Linked DNA regions of Caenorhabditis elegans. The protein of the gene in region 1 purifies or fractionates together with the protein of each later gene. This does not show direct contact. Each region holds a gene or a part of one and is shown in the gene's direction. Other genes may lie near its edges. The genes, in order: F19F10.3 and sams-3.

Region 1 (9,167 bases):
TATTCTCCGAGTCCTGGGCCGGCTCTCTTGATATTTGCAATGTAGCGAGCAAATTCATTGATCGAATGTACCTTAATAAACGTTATAAAAATAGGAGTTTAAACTGAAAATGCCAACCTGCTCTTCCAAATACTTCTCCTGAATGTAATTTGTCAAGTGCGCGTCATTGCGTTGTTCGGCGATTCCATGAAGCTTCAACAAAGATGCATTATTGGCTCTCTCTAGAGCAAGTGCGGCTTCAAATGCTTCAAGGACAGTTCCCCACTCGTCTTTCTCTGGCTTCTGAATGTTCTGCATGGCAACACGTCCTCCACGGACAGCTTGAATTCTCATGAGCTCTGTGGCATGGCCACGCTCCTCATCCGATTGCTCCTTGAAAAATTTGGCAATGTTCCGAAGTGCGATATCATCACGATCGAAGTGTGCAGACATCGATAGATAGACATAGGAGGCGTAGAGTTCTACGTTAATCTGGAAAGGTAATTTAAGCTTTTAATTGAGTAATACTTCTAATTTTAAAAGCATTTCAGTGTTAATTTCGTCCAGTTCAAAAGCAAGCTCAGATAGGATTTTTATTGTAGACGCTTTCAGTCTCACGTGCTCGTCTATCTACTGCCGCCTATTCTGTATATTTTTTTTGGATGACTGGCATAAGAGCAAAGAAATCATCGACGCTGCCATGATCAAATTGCGCTTCTTCAGGTACTGTCTGCCTGCCCTTGTTCGTTAAAAAAAAACAAAATGTTGCCGGTTGGAAAAATAAGCGTGTGGTGTGTTTCAATGTTTTTATTAATCAGTTAAATTCCTAATTTAAAGTAACCAGACATCAGTGATTAATTTTCTCACGACACATCCTCTCTTTTTCTAAATCTCTTCTCAATTTCCAACCTTCCTAATATATTTTTCCCATTTGTCAAAACAATGATCATACCTGTTTATTGACGGCCGCTTCGACTTCATCGTGATAGTTTTGACGAGCTAGAGACATGACGATTTACTTGGCAGAAAATATAATGACTTGATTACGTGTCCGGGACTGTGGGTGTTTTTAAACTGGACAACTCTGGGGGCGGAGTTTGTGATTGTGATCATTGATAAACTGATTATGATTTTTGCACATTACATATTGGCAACGAAAGGGTTCTTGTTTACAGAAACATGCGTTTCAATGAACTAATATGGAAACCTAAGTGTTGAAGTACATTTTGAGAAGCTTAACCTTCTGTAAGAAAACTACATCCAAGGATCGCCGAATGAAAATAACTTTTTGCAGAAGTGTGATGTCCCTTTTCGCCTGGCTTTCTAGCGTCCACATTCACATTACATTTTGATTTTAATATGATGCTTCGTAAACTCATACTTGTCCTGTACTCAAAATTTTTAAACTTAGATATAGGTTATAAACTTGAAAAGTGTTTTTTGGGAGATAAATTATACCAGTATTGTTAGAACGTTTCCAGTGAACGCCCTAAATTCTGAAATAAAAAGTTCCGGTTTTTCCTGATCCAAACAAAACCCAATTCTCATCAAATGATGATCTACACTTTCTTAACGTTGATGTATGGTTGTCTCGGCATCACATGAGCTGCCCTAAGACATGTTGATTAGCATTTATTTTGGCTACGTGCATCAAAATTTAGTGATAACAAACGGTACGTGCCGCTCTTATCATTGGCTACGTGAGCTGTTGACAGTCAAAAGTTGGATGGAAAAAGTGATATAGTTTAACAAAAAAAATTTAAATATTGCGTCAGAATATTGATACTTTTGAATTAGGATGGTTCAGGTTAAAGCGAAATTCAAAAAAAAAACACTGAAAACTGAGCAGACCATTTAATAACTTGAACAAGTATCAAAAATTACAAAAAAACACTTTTCAGTGGAACTGTTTTTTCACAGGCAAAGCGGAAAGTGCCCAAAACGGTCCGTTCACGGACCGGGAACGGCTCAAATTAAAGAACAGTTCACGGTTCGATTCCCGGTCCGTCAACGGACCGTAATTGAACCGTAAGGAGACTAAAAAATGGGAAAATTTTTTCACCCTCCAGCTGCCCCCTTTTTCTTTCCCAATGCTCCAAGCTCCGGTCTTCCTCCAGACCGTCTTCCGGTGATCCTTCGTTGTAGCAATTCTATCTGCCTCAGCCGGGGTTGAACTTGTCCACTGCCTGTCGATTGATTACTGGCCCATCACCTTTCCGTGTGGCCATTCGCGCACGCGAGGAATATCAAGAGACTTCGCATAAATAGCGATCAGCGCATTTTCTTCTGGTTTTCACGGCTTACACCAACTTTTTCGATTGTATTTTCAGTAGTTTCTGATTCTCCATCTTGCCGTTGGACTTATATGAAAACGAACGATAACAATTGACAGTTTCGTGTAGTCCAGAACTTATTTCGCATATTTCTCAACATCTACCTATTTGTGCTCCATCTACTTGTAATACAGAAATGGTACTTACCATATTTCCTCTATTAGTCTTGCATGCAAGACTAATTTTCGATTGGACCGTAGGGTTGCAAGACTAATAGAGGAAATAAGGTATATGCGTTCTACTTGAATGATACCTTAATTTCTTAAAATACACACGGAACAGAAACGATATCAGGAATGATTCCAGAATGTATTGTTAGTAAAATATTTTATGATATTTCAAAAAATGCTCCTGTTGCTCAGCTGAAGAAGACCAGCAGAGAGAGAGTGAACGTTGCGTATACACAGTATCTACCCAATTGTGGCATTTCATCTTTTTTATTGATATTTTTATATACATTAATATAACCTCTTTTACACACAATGTTCTGCTTAATAGCCTCAGTTAGATCGCATGCGATTACGGGCCGCGTACGGACCAGTCGGACAGATGATAGACAAAATGGTTGCCCAGAGGAATTTTTTTTTCATGAAAATTGAGTTTTTGAAGTACCTACAATGCTATTTGGTTCATTGTAGCCAGTTGGTTAATTTTTTGCCTGATTCAAGGTTTAGTTTTAAAAAGTGCAGTTTTGCCGACCGGGACGGGTAATTTACGGACCATCTACGGACCGGCTACGGCCAAACTACGGATGATCACCAAAACGGAGGATAATACGAAAAAATTTTTCATGAAAATGGAGTTTTTGAAGTGCCGAAGAGAGAAGGAGAGGGTACTCTCCTTTAGCTAATTTCAGCACTTTTTCCGTGCTAGAACCTGAAATTTTCAAAAACAAAAATTTGGTGCCCGGGACGGTTCATTTACGGTCCGTCTACGGGCCGGCGACGGACCTTCTACGGACCGGAAACGGCCCAACTACGGCTCAAGAGCCATCTCGGTCGGTAAATGTGGTGTTTGCTCTAAATAATGCATTTAACGACGTAAAAATGCTTAAATTAGCCAACTGGTATCATAGGTATTAAAAACAATTCGTTTTCTTAAAATCCATTTTTTCCTCTTAATGGCCATTTTTTACATTCCCCGTAGTTTGCCCGTAATTGGTCCGTCCCGCTATTCATATCCGTAGTTCACCCGTTAATGGTCCGATCCCGGTCCAAGATCCGTAAACGGACCGTACCCGCTTTGCCTGTGTTTGAAATCATAGAAAAACCCGCATGATTTGTTCACCTCTGCACAAATCACGACAGATTATTAATTGATTCACAAAATTTCAATGTATCTTTTTGAATTTCCGTATTCTACTTTTTAATCTGTCCAGGGATTTGTCGCCTCGGTAAAAAAGCCCGCCACCATTAAAATCATACCGAATCTACCATGCAGAGGTGTCTTTTTCCCATTGTATTTTGTGCACTGGAACTTTTTTCTATTGTAGGTACTCAGCAGGCATTCGGAGTAAGTTGTGGGTTTTCTGAAAAATATAAATGCTGCTGCCACGTGGCTCTCTTTCATTATAATTTTCGTTCAAAAAATTGACCTGAAAACACCTTCTTAATAATATTTAAACTATTTCTTAGATTTTTTTTTTTTTTTTTTTTTTTTAATTAAAACGTGTCTACCACCCATGAGCACATGATTCAATACGTTATTGTGTAAAATTTCAGTCTGTATCGTAAATTGCCATCCAGAAAATTATTCCCCATGCAACGGATGCAAATGCATTTGCTGTAAGTCTCACTTATAGTTGTTCAATTATGAAAAAACAGTTCAGCTTGCTCAAGGTCTCAACCAAAATATTGGAAATTTTCCAGTCATGCGAAACCTCGTAAATAAGTTTTTCAATCAGAATAAAGCAGGAAAACCAAACCCAAAGACATTGTCGCTTTATGTCAATTCTACGTACAGCAAGCAGAAGCTTATCGCGCTGGTGAATAATGTTGGTTTTGTTCTAAGAAAATTTCAGACGAAAAGATCAAAATTCAGAGACAATCAGTCACTCAATGGTGGACACAGGACTTGATACCAGGCATCACAAAGTTCTTCGATAAGCCTACTGCAATCCTGGTAAAATATAAAACTTTTCAAACAAATTGTATTCTGATTATATAAGTGTCCCTTTACAGTTAGATTTCTTTATTTCTACGTTTAGTTTGATGTTAATGTACCAACGAGGTCATTTTCTAAAACATCCGCTGTAACCCCATGCTGCGGAGTAAAAATAAAAAAGATGTAGAAAAATAGTTGTTTTTGTTAGTTTGTGAGATTAGAAAATTAATTATTTTATTTTAGCACCGAGACCTCTATGCGTACTTTGACAGCCGATATGCTAACGACTTCCTCTATACCCTGACCTACTGGTACTTGACGGTTCTCATGAAGGTCGCCGATCTTCCTGATGATGAATATTATGTTTTTGCGGATATCATCGACAACAGTCTAGATGCACGAATGAATAAATCCGATGCAATTGCTTTTCAGGTTTACACTAGAGCCTTTGAAGCAAACCACAATCAAACCCTACAAAAAGGAAAATGGTGAAAAACATTTGCATTCATTTTTTTCTGAATAAATTTATCTCGGCAGAACCAGTAAGCAGAAAGATTATAATAATACGATTATGAAATGTTTTTGTTTAACATAATGATACAGCACAAAGATTAATTATTACTGAACAAAAAAATGTTCAATTATACAAATCTGCGGAAAATTAGAAAAATAAACCTAAAAATTGTTAAAGAAATGCATTCAAATCTGAAATTACTGGCGTTTCATATTGTCATACACGTTCACAAGCTTTAAATAAACTTGAAAAAAATCTATTTTAATCGTCATTTGTCTCAATTTTATGACAACTTGTACTAAGTTAGGATTTTAACATTTTATGAAATTGTGTCATGTAGTTGGAAAGCCAGCTGCTAGAAATGTTAAAATGCGAGGGTGGGGAAGTTGTTCACTGAAGAGATACAAGATCACACAGCTTCCTGAAATTTTTGATCGGAACTAAACATTCCACAAGATTTCATACTACAACTTGAAGAGCAACAGATGTGCAAGGGTCAGGAGATCACAACACAATTTTGAAAACAACGCAACTAGACTTTCGCAAGTTTTGGGTGGGTACTGGGAGGAGACATGGAACTGGAAGTATAAAAATCAACAGGCAGCGTGAAAACTTCAAAAAGTTGCTATTCGGTCTCTACTGGCATTGTCATGTGTAAGTTATTTTCCAATTTAAACGAAACTATGTGTATTACATACATGTCGACAAAGATAGTCTAGTATTATAATGAATGTTAAAAAATTGTCTTTCAGCTCTTGAAGAATTCAAAAAGCTCAGGAATGAGATAAAAGAGCTTAAAAATGCAGGCAAACACGAAGAGTTTGTCGAAAGATTCGCCGCCAAGGACGCTACCTTCCTCGCACCATTCCACGACCCAGTGACCGCTGCAGATTCAATTAGCTTGGCCAAAAGTGACGATCTTGCACCTCTTGTCAAAGCTGACTTTGAGATGACAACTGACGAGGTCACACAAATTGGAGACGTTGTCATCGAACGGAACACAATTATTGTCAAGCTTCCATCTGGTGACAAAACTGGATGGGCTTTGAGTGTCTGGGTCAAGGAAGATGGAAATTGGAAGATTCGTAATTCGTGTGTCACTTTCAAGGCTCCAGCACCACAATAAACTTTTGCTCATATCGTGAAAAATTTGAAAATAAAATTCAGCTTATATTTTTCCTTAACCAGTAAAAACATTAAAATGAAAGTTGCATTTTCAACAATTTCAATGTCAAAATATTATTTGTGGATGCGGAAAAAACAGTTTTATGAAAAACGAGTTGTTTAATATAATAGTTATAGGTACTACAGTTCATTTTTATTCAAAAAATAATAGTTGTATGTCAAATATCTTGTATTTAAAATTGAATCAAGTCTATTACGATTGTAGTCAGGTACTCGTTGAGTTTCTATACTTGCATCTCTTGTCATTTACAAGAAATCCTCCTCCGACAGATCCCAATCCAACGTTTTCGTATTTGACTTCATCAGCCGACATGTCTATTTCACCAATGTCGAAAATCTAGGAAAATGTCAATTAAGCTTATACCTTTTTCACCACAATTACCTTGGTTGGAGTACGTGTTGGGGAAACAAATTCTGTTGGAATCAAGATTTGCAAAGCCGAGTCTGTGCATTCTCTGTCCGCAAACTAAAAAAAATATTTTCAAATGTGAAGTTATTGTTTGCAAACTCACGACAAAGTTATCAACTGGTTTACAATAATTTGGCGCGTAGAGATAAGGTGTGAAGTGGGGCCAGTCTTTTCCAAAAGTTTTAACAGAGAAGTTTCCATCTTCATCAGTAAAAAGTGATTCCATCAGAATATCGGTTAACACTGAAAATATTCTGTTAACCCTGAATGCACTAAATATGAATATTACTGTAGTTTTTCTCATAGATGGAAACACTTTCATTGGCGTATGGCTTCCCACCGCACATCAAGCGACCGCTGACGTGGAACGATCCTTCGCCAATGGAATTGACAATAGGGAACCCAAGAGAAATGAGCAATATCTGAAAAATTAGGGTATTGATTGAATTGTCATGCAAATTTCGAGTTAATAAAACGAGTCTGCATGATATTTGAGGTTTCCTGTTTTTGTTTAAATTCTATGTGAAACAACTTTGTGCTCACATTACTCACCAGCTTCCACATGTCGCAACGTAATTCCGGCGCCAATTTCGGACGAAGCTCTGTTTAATTTTTGTTGTTGAAATGGAAGGAACCAACTGCAACAAAAAATCTGAAATTTGGCATGTAACATTAAACGATTTAATTTGGAATTTGAATACAATAATGCGTAAAAAAATGGAACAAATAACATACATATTTTAAGACTTGCCAGCGCAAACAACCTATGAAAAATGACAAAAATTCTTGGAAAATACTGGTTCCTTGTTCAGCTTGATCAGGGGCAGCAAAAATTGAAAGGAACACAAACATGATTTAATAAGCTTTAAATTAGGTTTATATTCAATTTTATTTTGAAATCAGATTTTCAGTTGGCGGAACAAACTTGATTTCTAGGAAAAAATATTTCGTTTCTGTTGACAAAGATCAGAAATGTCGGTTTTTGTACAATTTATTCTCGGCACATCTGAAAAACATAAAGCATATGGCCACATAAAATTATTTCCAAGTCCGCCCGACAAACACCTGGTGGCAATTTCGAGCTAACTGAGAAAAGCACATGTTCCGTGATTTTTATGGTTTTTAAAAAACAGGATTTTTTGGGCTCAAAGATTAGTGAAGCCTCACTTTCAGATTTGAATGGAAAAACCATAAATGTACTTTTCAGACGAAAAATATCTTCTAGAACTATTATAATTTCGATATATATATTTTTTATAATTTGACTGGAATAAAATGGAACTGAAAATAATAATAATAATAATATATTTCTGGACAAATAATAATTATAGGGATGAGAACTAGGTTTAATTGCTCTACAGCAGATTACGTATCCGAGATTTTATATTGTGATTTTTTTAACATTGAAATTTAGAATGGATCCTGGAAAAGACTCCAAGAAAAAATCTGAAAAGGCTTGTAGTTTCATTGAATTATTTGAAGTTTAAAAATTTATGAATTTGTATCACTCTGCGAAAATCGGAACGCCAGAGGGCATGTAGGCAGACAGGCATGATCTCTCAAATAAGCCTATAAATGACCTCCTTTAAGGTCACTACAATTGTGGCATTTTCAGTAACCCGACAGCTTTATAAATACCTGAAAATGTTCTAGTTTTGAACTTCAATCATATGTTCTGTAACCAATTTTTCAATCAAAGTTAAAGGTCTGCTGGATAGGTAATGTAGACTCCGTGACTAACTCCCACACTCTTTTGGAGGAAAAGTATCAAGAATCAAGTCAAAACGGACTAATCACATCTACGAGACAATGAAATTATGAATAACTTGTGAGGAAACCACCTCCAGAAAAAAACTCCAAAGAGTACATATAACTGCTGAAAAAATATTTCTTGTTTTTGTTTTTAATTTTCTTTCAGAAAAAAATACAACCTTGCTCTGAAAAAGTTAGATTAAAAATTGGAAATCAGACACTATTATTCGAGAGAAAAGTTCAAATTGGATTTGATTCTTGGAATAACTAATTAGAATATGACATATGTCAAAAACAAATCATAAGCAGGAAATGAATTATATATTCAAAAACTTACAATTAGTGCATAAATTAAGGGTTTGTCCCGTACTTGATACGCAAAACGCTTTAAAAAACTAACACTTCGACAGTGTAAAATATAGTTTTCGATTTTTTTAAAACTCAAATTTCAATATTCAGTTCTTCAAAAACTAACTAAATTAGAACATCCGATTTGAAAAAGTTAACGATCCAAAAATGTAGCATGAAAGCTTGGCGACTCTTTTGGCAAGTTTTCAGCTTCTCTTTCAACATATTCTATTTGCAGCATAAATAGTGATTCCTTATTAAATATTATGCTACTGAAGGACTTCCAATGACGTTTGATTTTTGCAATAAAATAAGGTTTTTTAAAACTTAATTCTCTTTTGGTTTAACAGATTTTTTGAAAATTTAAGTGAATGCAAAAAGGTAGATTCGACGAAAATTATATTTGGAATTTCAACAAAAAACTGTGTTTTTAAAATAGTTATAATGAAAGAGTTGACTCGTTTGGCCGCTTTACATTTCCCATGTTTCTGCTCTATTTTTTTCTATTTTTCAGTTTTTTGTACAGTGATTTGAAAGTTTTCCC
Region 2 (10,956 bases), on another chromosome or scaffold:
TGCAAATGAACCAATAAAACCGATTCATTGTTATGTTTAATATTTTGAAACTGAATGCAAATTTTTTTTCACTCTTAGACGTTAATTAACGATACATGCCTGCCTTTAAAGCGACCTACGCCTATTTACTGCCTAAAAATTTTGTATTTATTTTACTTGTTATTACTTGAATTTCCAAAAAAAAAACTCAAGTTCTGGAAATACCAAACACATCACAAAGTATAAGAAACACGCGGTAGGCAGGCACGTAGGCAGGCATGTGTAGGCATGTGACCACCTACCATGGAAGCTCTCAATCTGAACTCATAAAAATCATTGAATGCGGATTCACGAAAAGCCAGAAAAATAGGAAAATAATAATTTATTCATTCTCGCTAGGCTCCTTGTTTGAGTTTCCTCTAAACTGAGAACTCACGCCCACTTTGACAACCAATCAGCGTCTTCGGACTCCTCACACTCCGTCTGATTGGTTGGAAAATGGGTGGAGCAATTCGCTTTGGAGGAACTTCAAATGTTTCGGATTTCATACGTTTTTCGTGATTTTTAAATGAAATGTTCTCATTAAACACTATTTTGGGAGGTTTAGAGAAAAAATCCCATAGACGCAACTCCACTATCAAATACTGTTTCAAAGTTTTGGTAAAGGTGCCTCATAACATGTCAGAGTATTATCAGGCTATACCTTAACAAAATCCCAGTTCAGTTTGCCCTATTTCACCTTTAATAAACAATTTTCAGGCACCAAAGTGTCCTCTCGTCCCAGCTCAAAAGCTTCAAAACTCAATGAGCAATTCAATCAGAAGCACAAAGCGTCTACACCATCTCCAACTAAAAAACCATCCGAATCTTCCGTAACTCCATCTTCTGCAACATCATTCAAACCAAAAGAAGCATATTCTCCATCGAAATCCTTTTTCAGTTATGAAATGGGCGGAGTCGGAACAACATCAGCTTCAGAAATAAATGAAAAAATATTAATTTCAAATGAAATTCCAGTTGATGAAATATCAAAAGAAGAAGAAGAAAAAGCAGAAAAAGAATTAAATGAAATAATAAAAGAATTAAAATCAGATGAAGAAGCTGTCGATGGAGAGAAAGATGTTGGAGAATTAAAAACACGAGAAGTCAATATGACATCTGAAAATGGAGAAGAGAATTCTGAAAATTCACATTCAAATGATACATCAACAGATGCAAAAGCGGTCAAATCTAGTAAAACAACGATGAATTCAAACTTTATTTTAATTTCTATATCTTCCATTTTATTTTGCAAATATTTCACTTAAATTGTAGACTCTTTTAATAAACCTGGTGCTTTCTGTCGATATATTGAGCAAAAAATTTAATAAAGGAAATGATTTTTTTTTTGAGTTTTCAGATTTCTTGAGGTTTCTGCAGACTGACAAATGAACAAATAGGATAATTATCAAGCAAATTTATTGATTACGAAAAATCGTGATCAACTTGTAGTAATAAATACGTGAAATGGAATAATAATTATGGAATAAAGCGATCATGTGTGCGGGATGGTGGGGGCTACTGATTTTGAATCTAAATGAGGCTCAGGGGAATAGAATTAATGGAATTTAGGGGAACAAGTGAAAATGAAACCAAAATAAATGTATGTGATTACTAGAAGGCTTACAAGCACTTTTATCAAGTTGATTATTACAATAATCTCAGAATTTTAATGGGCAATTCCAATTACGTCAGGTTGAGCTGGTCCTTGTGATTTGGCGAGCATATCTGCACTGATTTTGAGGTTTCGAGGCTGCTCCCATGGGAAATTATTGTGTCCAAAGTGTCCGTTTTCAGCAGTTGGCTCGTAAATTGGTCTCTTCAAGTCAAGATTCCTGAAAACAGTAAAAATAGTGAAACATAAAAAAAAACGCTTACTTGATAATCTTTCCCGGTCTCAGATCGAAGTTATCATTCACAATGGTCAATAAATCCTCCTCGCTGAGAGCAGAAGTTCCAAATGAAAAGACCATCACAGAAAGAGGCTTAGCAACTCCGATGGCGTATGAAACTTGAACAAGGCAACGACGGCAAAGTCCAGCTTTGACAAGTGACTTGGCAACCCAACGAGCAGCATATGCGGCAGAACGATCGACTTTGGTTGGGTCCTTTCCAGAGAAAGCACCTCCTCCGTGAGCTCCCCATCCTCCGTAGGTATCAACGATGATCTTACGTCCAGTAAGTCCAGCATCTCCCATTGGTCCTCCAATAATGAATGATCCACATGGATTGAGATGATAGATGGTCTTGTCGTCGATGAGATTGGCAGGAATTACAGCTTTGATAACCTAAAACCGAACAATAAATATAGCTGTATTTTTATTAATATTTTTAATTACCTTTTCGATGAGTTCCTTTCTCAAATCATCGAGACTGATATCTGGAGAATGTTGGGTGGAGATAACAACAGTGTGGACGCGTAGTGGGACACATGCTCCTCCTTCCGAAGCATATTCGATTGTGACTTGGGTCTTCGAGTCCGGACGAACCCATTCGAGCTCTCCAGATCTACGGAGCTCGTGAAGCTTCCGGTTCAGCTTGTGAGACAAGAGAAGAGTCAATGGCATCGCTTCTTCGGTTTCATCAGTAGCATATCCAAACATAATTCCTTGATCTCCGGCTCCGACATCGTCACTATCCTTGTCCACGTGGACTCCAGCAGCGATTTCAGGTGATTGTTGTTCGAGTGCAACAAGAACATTGCATGTCTTGTAATCGAATCCTGAAAATGAATACTGTATTTAATCAATAAACCAAGAAAATGAGATTCCTGACACAATGTGATGAGCCAATAGTGTAGAAACGAAATTATATTCTTCATACCTTTCGAGGAATCATCGTATCCAATTTTCTTAATGACGTTTCGGACGAGAACCTGGTAGTCGACGACAGCTTTCGAGGTGATCTCACCGCACAACATGATCATACCCGTTTTAGTCACCGTTTCTGTAATCAAAGTAACCGTTGTAACAGGTAAAGAAACATATTGTTGCGATAAGCTTCAGCCCCGTTTCCCGCATCATCCAACACCCGTAGAGCCTGAAATCAGAGACATGAATAGGCGAAATGCAAAAGAACCACAGTGATAGGTACGAGTTCACTGTTGATCCTTCTGCAAATCAAATTCACAACACAAATATCAATATCATGTTAATTCTGAGGTTAACACGACGCGAGTGTATTGAATCTGACCGCCTGTCTTCCATATCGCCGAATCTCTGAATGTTGTACGGATAATAATTGGGACTTTTGCTCATCGCAGCTCCATGTTGTTGTTGACATTTCGTTGGAGGATATCCAAAAGTCCTGAATCACTCACCACAAGCAACCTTAGCGTGAGGGTCTTGAGCCAGATGAGCGTCAAGAACAGCGTCCGAGATCTGAAAAACAAACATGAGAATGATAGACAGCTGCTTTCGAGCACGTGGGCCAATTTTCTACGCTTCGGAGATAACGTTTTGTTTGAAACTATACACATTTTGTCCCATAACTAACTTTTTACGAACTTGACAGATTTTTTTTTTCAACAGTAGCGTATTTCCAATCAAAAAATTTGATGGATTTGTTTATCTGGAAAAGACGATTTCTTATCAAATATAACTTACTTGGTCACACATCTTGTCGGGATGCCCCTCGGAGACAGATTCGGAGGTGAAAAGGAACTTGTGTTGCGGCATTTTATTTCGTTGATGGATGTTTGAAAGCGTCCGTCTGAAAGAGCGATGATATTTAGCTCAAATAAATAAAGGAAAGCGAGGAAGCGGAGGTGGGTTGAATAGAGGGCGGAGCGCCACGCAACAAAGAGAGACACAATACTCTGCGTCTTGTTGGAAACACGTTGCTCTAAAGTATAGTTTTGAGGGCGTTTTTTAGATTGCAATAAAACACAATTTTTTTGCGAGACAAGTGTGAATATTAGCCCGGAAAGCTCTACTTTTATACCATGAAGGTTGAACCTAGATCATCAGAAAACTACAGAGATTTAGAGAAAAAGGGAGCGAGAATTTTCGAAAAAAGAAGGATCAAAACAATTCTAAGGGCAAACCGTTATCTAAGGATGAGGAATTATGAAACACGTGTTATTTGAAACACCACAATAATATTTATATAAATATACGATGTTTAGAAATAAGAACACTGAGGAAGTTTTACTGTCATATTTTTGAAGAACATAAATCGAGATAAGGAAAAATATATAAAAGTCTTAGAGAACAAGACAGGCGACGTTTACAATCTAGAAAAATAAATGTCTAAAACTTTCGAAATATGCGTTCGAAGATTGTACAGATGAACCGGGAACACGGACAAAAAATCTTCGGAATTGAAGTCTCGCTGAACCTTATTGAAAGCTTCAGCAGATAAAGACAACTCACTTACACTCTTCGACGATGAAACGGTCAATGTTTTTTTTAATGTTATGCACTCCGAGAAATTTTGATAAAATTTCACGTTTTCACGTGTGGATATAGCCGAGTTCACTATGTTATCACGTTTTTACTCAATTCTTTTTAAAAGTATTATTATTGCAACAAGATCATTCCCAGCCTATACTATTGTGCAGAACATCGTTTGCAAGAAAAAAAGCTGTCGAGAGGGCAAAATCGGCCTGAACAAAGTTATTGCAAAACTTTGACATACTTTTTTATGTTTGATCATACGATTTTCATCGCTCTCCTCAAATTCATATTTGTTTTTATTTCCTCTAACAGTGTAATTGTGCTAATGGATATATGATCATGAAACTATTCAATTTGCAGAAAATCAATAGACTTTGCCCTTTTGTAAAAGCGCAGAAGCTCAGTTTCCACAACATGAAAAAAGCAAATACTCTAGACTTTAGGAACGGATTATAGTAGCCATTATCAGTAATGTAAACTTTAAAAAGCAAAGGAATCAAGAAAACAGGTTCTAATTTAGAACAAATAGCAACTTGGTAAATAAGAATTGGCCTTGTACTTTTAAGTTTGTAGTCTCACTTGCTTTTTGTCATGGTGTTTTGCTCAATTATCGAGAAACTGTAAGAATGATGAAACTACTTCCAAAATGTTTAATCGTATTTAACAAACACGTGGGTTAAATAGAAAAATAAATTATATCTCAAATAGAACAGTGATTTTTCACTGAAAAAAACGGATTTTAAAGCCTTTTTAAACCTAATCAAGCAGAAAAAACAATTAATACGATATTCGATATTTTTCCGTAACTTTTCTTGTTAATTCCGATATCTAGGAATCTCATATCTCGATTATTTCGATCTATTCATGATAGGGGAAAGCTTTCAGATATTTCCAGTTTCTAATTAGCGAAACAGATCTAATCTAGAACATTTATCGCCATCCGTGAGACAGCTGTTAAATTCTAGTTTAAGGATCGGCTAAAATTCGAATAAAATGCGACGAAAATTCAAAAAAGCCAGCAGATTTATAGAAATTTGCATAGAAAATGAAGAAAATGGAAAAAAGTGTTTTTACAAGTGTCGTAATGTGTTGGGCATTGTACGTGACAGTTGCTCACGGTGTTTGCGGACTTTGACAATTTCTGGATTTTTTGGGCCTTTTTTTTGTGCATTTTTCGCATATTTGTTTCTAATTTTCACAAGAATTTTAATTAAATTTACACGAATATTTTAATTTTTCGCTAAAATAACTGCTCAACAAAGTTCCGAGCCATATATAATCTTTCTCCAGATATTTCTGTAAATGTTCATGTGTTATCCGGATTCTTTGTATTACCAGAAATTTTATTTTATTCGAAACAATTATTTACAAAAGCTATTTGAGTTTGGGAGTATGTGGCTAGTTATCGATTTTCTAATTTTCAGTTTTGGGCTCTATTATGGCTTCAAATGTTTCATTTCAAACATTTCACAGTAGTTTTATTTGCAAAAAATAATGTTTATTCAACTTGATCGTTTTGCTACGAGGTGCTCCGCCTCTTATTCGTTCCTTCTTCCCTTTCCGTTTCTATTTATTAATCCAAACCGAACCACTATTTTCAGACGAAGTGTTTCAACCTTACAACCAAACAAAATGTCGCAACACAAGTTCCTTTTCACCTCCGAATCTGTCTCTGAAGGGCATCCTGACAAGATGTGTGACCAGGTAAGTAACCAACGAAACATTAATAAGGTGCCAGGTTTTTTTTAGTTTCATGGTTTCGAAAATGCGTATATATTTTTGATGTCAGCCATTCTTCGCGTCATTTCTCAAACGAAGATTTCTATTTTCAGATCTCGGACGCTGTTCTTGATGCTCATTTGGCTCAAGATCCTCACGCAAAGGTTGCATGTGGTAAGTGGTTCAGGACTTCTTGATATCCTTCAGCGAAAGTTCAACAACAATATGGAACTGCGATGAGCAAAAGTCCTAATTATTATCCCCTAACAACGTTCAGAGATTCGGCGGAAGACATGGAAGTCAGGCGGTCACATTCAGTACACACACATCGTGTTAACATGATATTGATATTTGTGTTGTGAATTTGATTTGCAGAAGGATCAACAGTGAACTCGTACCGTTCACTGTAGTTCTTTTGCATTTATCGCCTATTCATGTCTCTGATTTCAGGCTCTACGGGTGTTGGATGATGCGGGAAACGGGGCTGAAGCTTATCGCAACAATATGTTTCTTTACCTGTTACAACGGTTACTTTGATTACAGAAACGGTGACTAAAACGGGTATGATCATGTTGTGCGGTGAGATCACCTCGAAAGCTGTCGTCGACTACCAGGTTCTCGTCCGAAACGTCATTAAGAAAATTGGATACGATGATTCCTCGAAAGGTATGAAGAATATAATTTCGTTTCTACACTATTGGCTCATCACATTGTGTCAGGAATCTCATTTTCTTGGTTTATTGATTAAATACAGTATTCAATTTCAGGATTCGATTACAAGACATGCAATGTTCTTGTTGCACTCGAACAACAATCACCTGAAATCGCTGCTGGAGTCCACGTGGACAAGGATAGTGACGATGTCGGAGCCGGAGATCAAGGAATTATGTTTGGATATGCTACTGATGAAACCGAAGAAGCGATGCCATTGACTCTTCTCTTGTCTCACAAGCTGAACCGGAAGCTTCACGAGCTCCGTAGATCTGGAGAGCTCGAATGGGTTCGTCCGGACTCGAAGACCCAAGTCACAATCGAATATGCTTCGGAAGGAGGAGCATGTGTCCCACTACGCGTCCACACTGTTGTTATCTCCACCCAACATTCTCCAGATATCAGTCTCGATGATTTGAGAAAGGAACTCATCGAAAAGGTAATTAAAAATATTAATAAAAATACAGCTATATTTATTGTTCGGTTTTAGGTTATCAAAGCTGTAATTCCTGCCAATCTCATCGACGACAAGACCATCTATCATCTCAATCCATGTGGATCATTCATTATTGGAGGACCAATGGGAGATGCTGGACTTACTGGACGTAAGATCATCGTTGATACCTACGGAGGATGGGGAGCTCACGGAGGAGGTGCTTTCTCTGGAAAAGACCCAACCAAAGTCGATCGTTCTGCCGCATATGCTGCTCGTTGGGTTGCCAAGTCACTTGTCAAATCAGGACTCTGTCGCCGTTGTCTTGTTCAAGTATCTTATGCAATCGGAGTAGCCAAACCACTTTCAGTGATGGTGTTCTCTTTCGGGACATCTGCGTTGAACGAAGGAGAACTATTGAAAATTGTCAATGACAACTTTGATTTGCGACCTGGAATGATTATTAAGTATGTCAGCCACAAACTAATATTTTTGTTAATTGTAAAGTTTCAGGGATCTCGATTTGAAGAAACCAATTTATGAACCAACCGCTGAGAACGGACACTTTGGACACAATGAATTCCCATGGGAGCAGCCACGTCATCTTCAGATTGATGTTGAACTTCTTAAAAAGATTGGAGGAAAAACGATCTCAAACGGAAATGGAATTGCCCATTGATTGTACAATGTCTGATTCATTTGTTGTTTTGATTGTTTCTTGTTTTCTCTAATAACCATTGTTTTATTCAGTTCTAATTGCATTTTTCTCTTATCCCATCCTCACTTGTTTACCTGTATTTCCGCAATATCCTCGATATCCACATACTTCAGATTTCAAATCCCAAATTCCTCCCCAATTTCTTCAAATAATCTATCTATCCCCTTTCCTTTTTCAATATAAGACCTTATAAAAAATCATTTATTGAGAATAATTTTTGTGAAAGAAAATTGAGCGAAGACGAATCGAAATGAGGCACGAGTAGATGGAGTTTGGGAATGACGGATAATATTCAAAACGCAATACTGCTTCGGTAACGACGATCTTCAGATGAATGCTGCTGCTGTTGCTTCTGAATTCGATAAATTCGACGTTCAGCAGGACCGCCAATCTCTTTCGTGTGGATTGAGAGTGGGGAATAATCAGCCGGTGGGATTTCAGACGTCGTCAGTAATTGATGACTGGATCGTGACAGGAATGACTGGAAAATATCTAATTATTAGGAGTTCAAATTACAACTATTACAGAAACACCACAAAATTCTACGCGCAAGATATCTCGTAGCGAAAGCTACAGTAAAAAATCCTAAAATTACTAATACTATAGCGCTTGTGTCGATTTACGGGCTCTTTTTGGCATCTTTGATTTATTTATCGGTAGAATGTTAAACAAAGAATGAAATTAATACGAAGAAACGAAGGAAATCAGGTCAGTAAATCGACACAAGAGCTACCGTAGTCATTTAACGAATTACTGTAGTTTTCGTTACGAGATATTTTGCATGGTCAAATATGTGGTGCAATACGCATTCTAAGAATTTTGTGCTTCCGTAATAACTAACCGGCTCCTTCCGATCATTTCTTCTTGCTTCAATCTCGAAAGCCGCAGTCTTTTCCAGCACACTACTCTTCCGTCTGTTTCTCTTCTCATCGTTCTCCTTCTCATTATCACTTGGAACTGGTGGAGGATCCATTCCGAAGTAGAATTCAGGAAGACTATCGATTCCTGGAATATTATTATTTAGTCAAAAATCATCGAAAACTAAAAAAAAACCAACGTTTTGATTCTCTCTTCAGTTTGTCCTCTTCCTCATTAACCCATGAAAAATCAATTTCCGATTGATCACATCTCATTTGTGACGTGGCAATTGACGAAGATCTCGAGCCATATGATGGTTGACGACGGATTATTGGTTGAGCATATGTTGCATTTGAATTATTCAATGTTTGATTATGTTGAATCCGTGATGACGTTGAAGAGGCTGTCTGGGCTGCAGTTGGTGGTGCTCTTTTTGTGGGCTCCGACACCTGTTGCTCCACTTTTTCACTTCGCTCAACTTTTACTTCTATCGTTTTTGTGATTGGCTGGAAAAGTAAAAACATAGGATTCAATAAATAGTATTGGGGAAATTTTTAAATCTTACAGGTTGTGGAGACTTGATGACCTGATGATGCTGAAGTTGCTGGTGATTGTGGTGATTGTGGTGATGTGGTGTGCTACTGTACATTGGTGGCGAGATAATGTCTGAAGTTAAAGATGTGTTCCAAAAAAAATCTTTTTTGTTCAGAATCTGTAATTTTTCTGGTTTTTAAAAAAGTTTCAGATATCATATTTTTCCTATTGGAGCTTGCACTGCTTCACTTTAGCGGCTCATATACGGTCATTTTTAGTTTTATGAAAACAAATTAAAATATAGAAGAATATTTTTCACGTGCTTCGTCCGTAAAAAATTCTGGTAAAATCAAAAAGAACCGAGCTATAAAGCGTCAAAGTGGAACAAGACCAATAAGATTTCTCATTTTTCTATTAAAAAATAATTTCGGTTTCACAATTGTTATAAAATTTCCAGTGAATTCACGTTTTATTCACCTTCTTTTTAATTTCTCAAATCTATACCTCGTTTTCCTGAAGAAATGCTAGATGTGTTCCATGGATCTGAAGAATGTCCACCTTCTTCTGATGATGTCATTGGGGACGATGAAGCCAGCGAGCCGTTAAGTTCGGCTCGGCGGTTGGTGCTTCTGAAAATTGAACATATATTTTATAGCACTCAAATTGGTAAATGTTTTGCTGTATTGAATTCAAGAGACTGAAATTTTTTAGTTTACAGAGTATTTCTACAAATCTATATTACCTTTAAAAAATTAGAAAAGAAAAAAAGACCTCAAATTATTTCCACAAAATTTGAGAACTGACAGTTTTTTGATAACTATTTTTGGTGGAATTAGAGCTGTTGGAAATTAAAAAATTTGAGGAATTTTTTTGCAAAATAGTTGATAAGATTCTATGAAATATTTGTTGATTATCACTATTTGGAATTCATGAAAAAAAGTTTTGGAATATAATTTCAAAAAATTATTATTGCACCAAAAACGATCGCACCACAATCTTGTGCAAAACTAAAACAAGTTGTTTCAATGAAATTCCCAAACTTGAATAAAGTAACTCACGAGTAATTATGCTTCACATATTGGCTCTGTGTTTCTCGTCTTGTTGGTAATCCTCGTCGCTCATCAGAAGTTCTCCAGTCACGTTGACGCATTCGAACGTCGATTTCAGGTGCTTCGTGCATTCTGGAAATTAATCGATTAATCGATATATGTATACATCTTGTGCATCCTAATATTAAACTAAAAGGCATACAATGAGTAGGTAATTTGTTTAAAACCGTAGCTATAGTTTTATAAAGTCCAAATATCATAATGAAACATTTCAAAATAATTTCAAGCTGTTTTAATTTGAAGTTTTAAAAAAGTGGAAACAATTTAGTTTTCACCTGTAGTTATTTCGAAAAGTCGTTCAAAAATAAGTGGTTCCAAACGAAATTTATACATTTTTTGAAGCTTTGGCATTTTGCCAAAATGCTGTAGTTGTTTTACCGCAATTTATAAATTCGAACTTTTTTTGAAGTGTATTTTTTTTGGTAATTTTGGACTATTTAAGATCTATTTAAACTAAAT

The links.
Region 2: the proteins of F19F10.3 (region 1) and sams-3 fractionate together in Caenorhabditis elegans (co-fractionation; one large-scale study listed by BioGRID). This does not show direct contact.

The regions. Positions count from the first base shown.
Region 1 is NC_003283.11:7,546,576-7,555,742, forward strand, and holds F19F10.3 (DUF4440 domain-containing protein), read left to right. Parts: upstream 1-5,545; 5' UTR 5,546-5,579; coding exon 5,580-5,583; intron 5,584-5,681; coding exon 5,682-6,055; 3' UTR 6,056-6,133; downstream 6,134-9,167. Other genes in the region: ftn-1 (Ferritin), read right to left, coding at 1-71, 118-471, 932-988; ttr-10 (Transthyretin-like family protein), read right to left, coding at 6,320-6,451, 6,497-6,580, 6,627-6,766, 6,813-6,945, 7,076-7,087.
Region 2 is NC_003282.8:5,842,641-5,853,596, forward strand, and holds sams-3 (putative S-adenosylmethionine synthase 3), read left to right. Parts: upstream 1-6,016; 5' UTR 6,017-6,047; coding exon 6,048-6,119; intron 6,120-6,164; exon of another isoform or gene 6,165-6,199; intron 6,200-6,247; coding exon 6,248-6,308; exon of another isoform or gene 6,309-6,677; coding exon 6,678-6,800; exon of another isoform or gene 6,801-6,901; coding exon 6,902-7,284; intron 7,285-7,335; coding exon 7,336-7,745; intron 7,746-7,791; coding exon 7,792-7,957; 3' UTR 7,958-8,203; downstream 8,204-10,956. Other genes in the region: C06E7.2 (uncharacterized protein), read left to right, coding at 739-1,286; sams-4 (putative S-adenosylmethionine synthase 4), read right to left, coding at 1,688-1,853, 1,897-2,306, 2,358-2,740, 2,842-2,964, 3,338-3,398, 3,624-3,695; C06E7.4 (SH2 domain-containing protein), read right to left, coding at 8,289-8,477, 8,838-9,001, 9,054-9,360, 9,420-9,520, 9,893-10,017, 10,447-10,569. UniProt on the Caenorhabditis elegans protein: Catalyzes the formation of S-adenosylmethionine from methionine and ATP. The reaction comprises two steps that are both catalyzed by the same enzyme: formation of S-adenosylmethionine (AdoMet) and triphosphate, and subsequent hydrolysis of the triphosphate.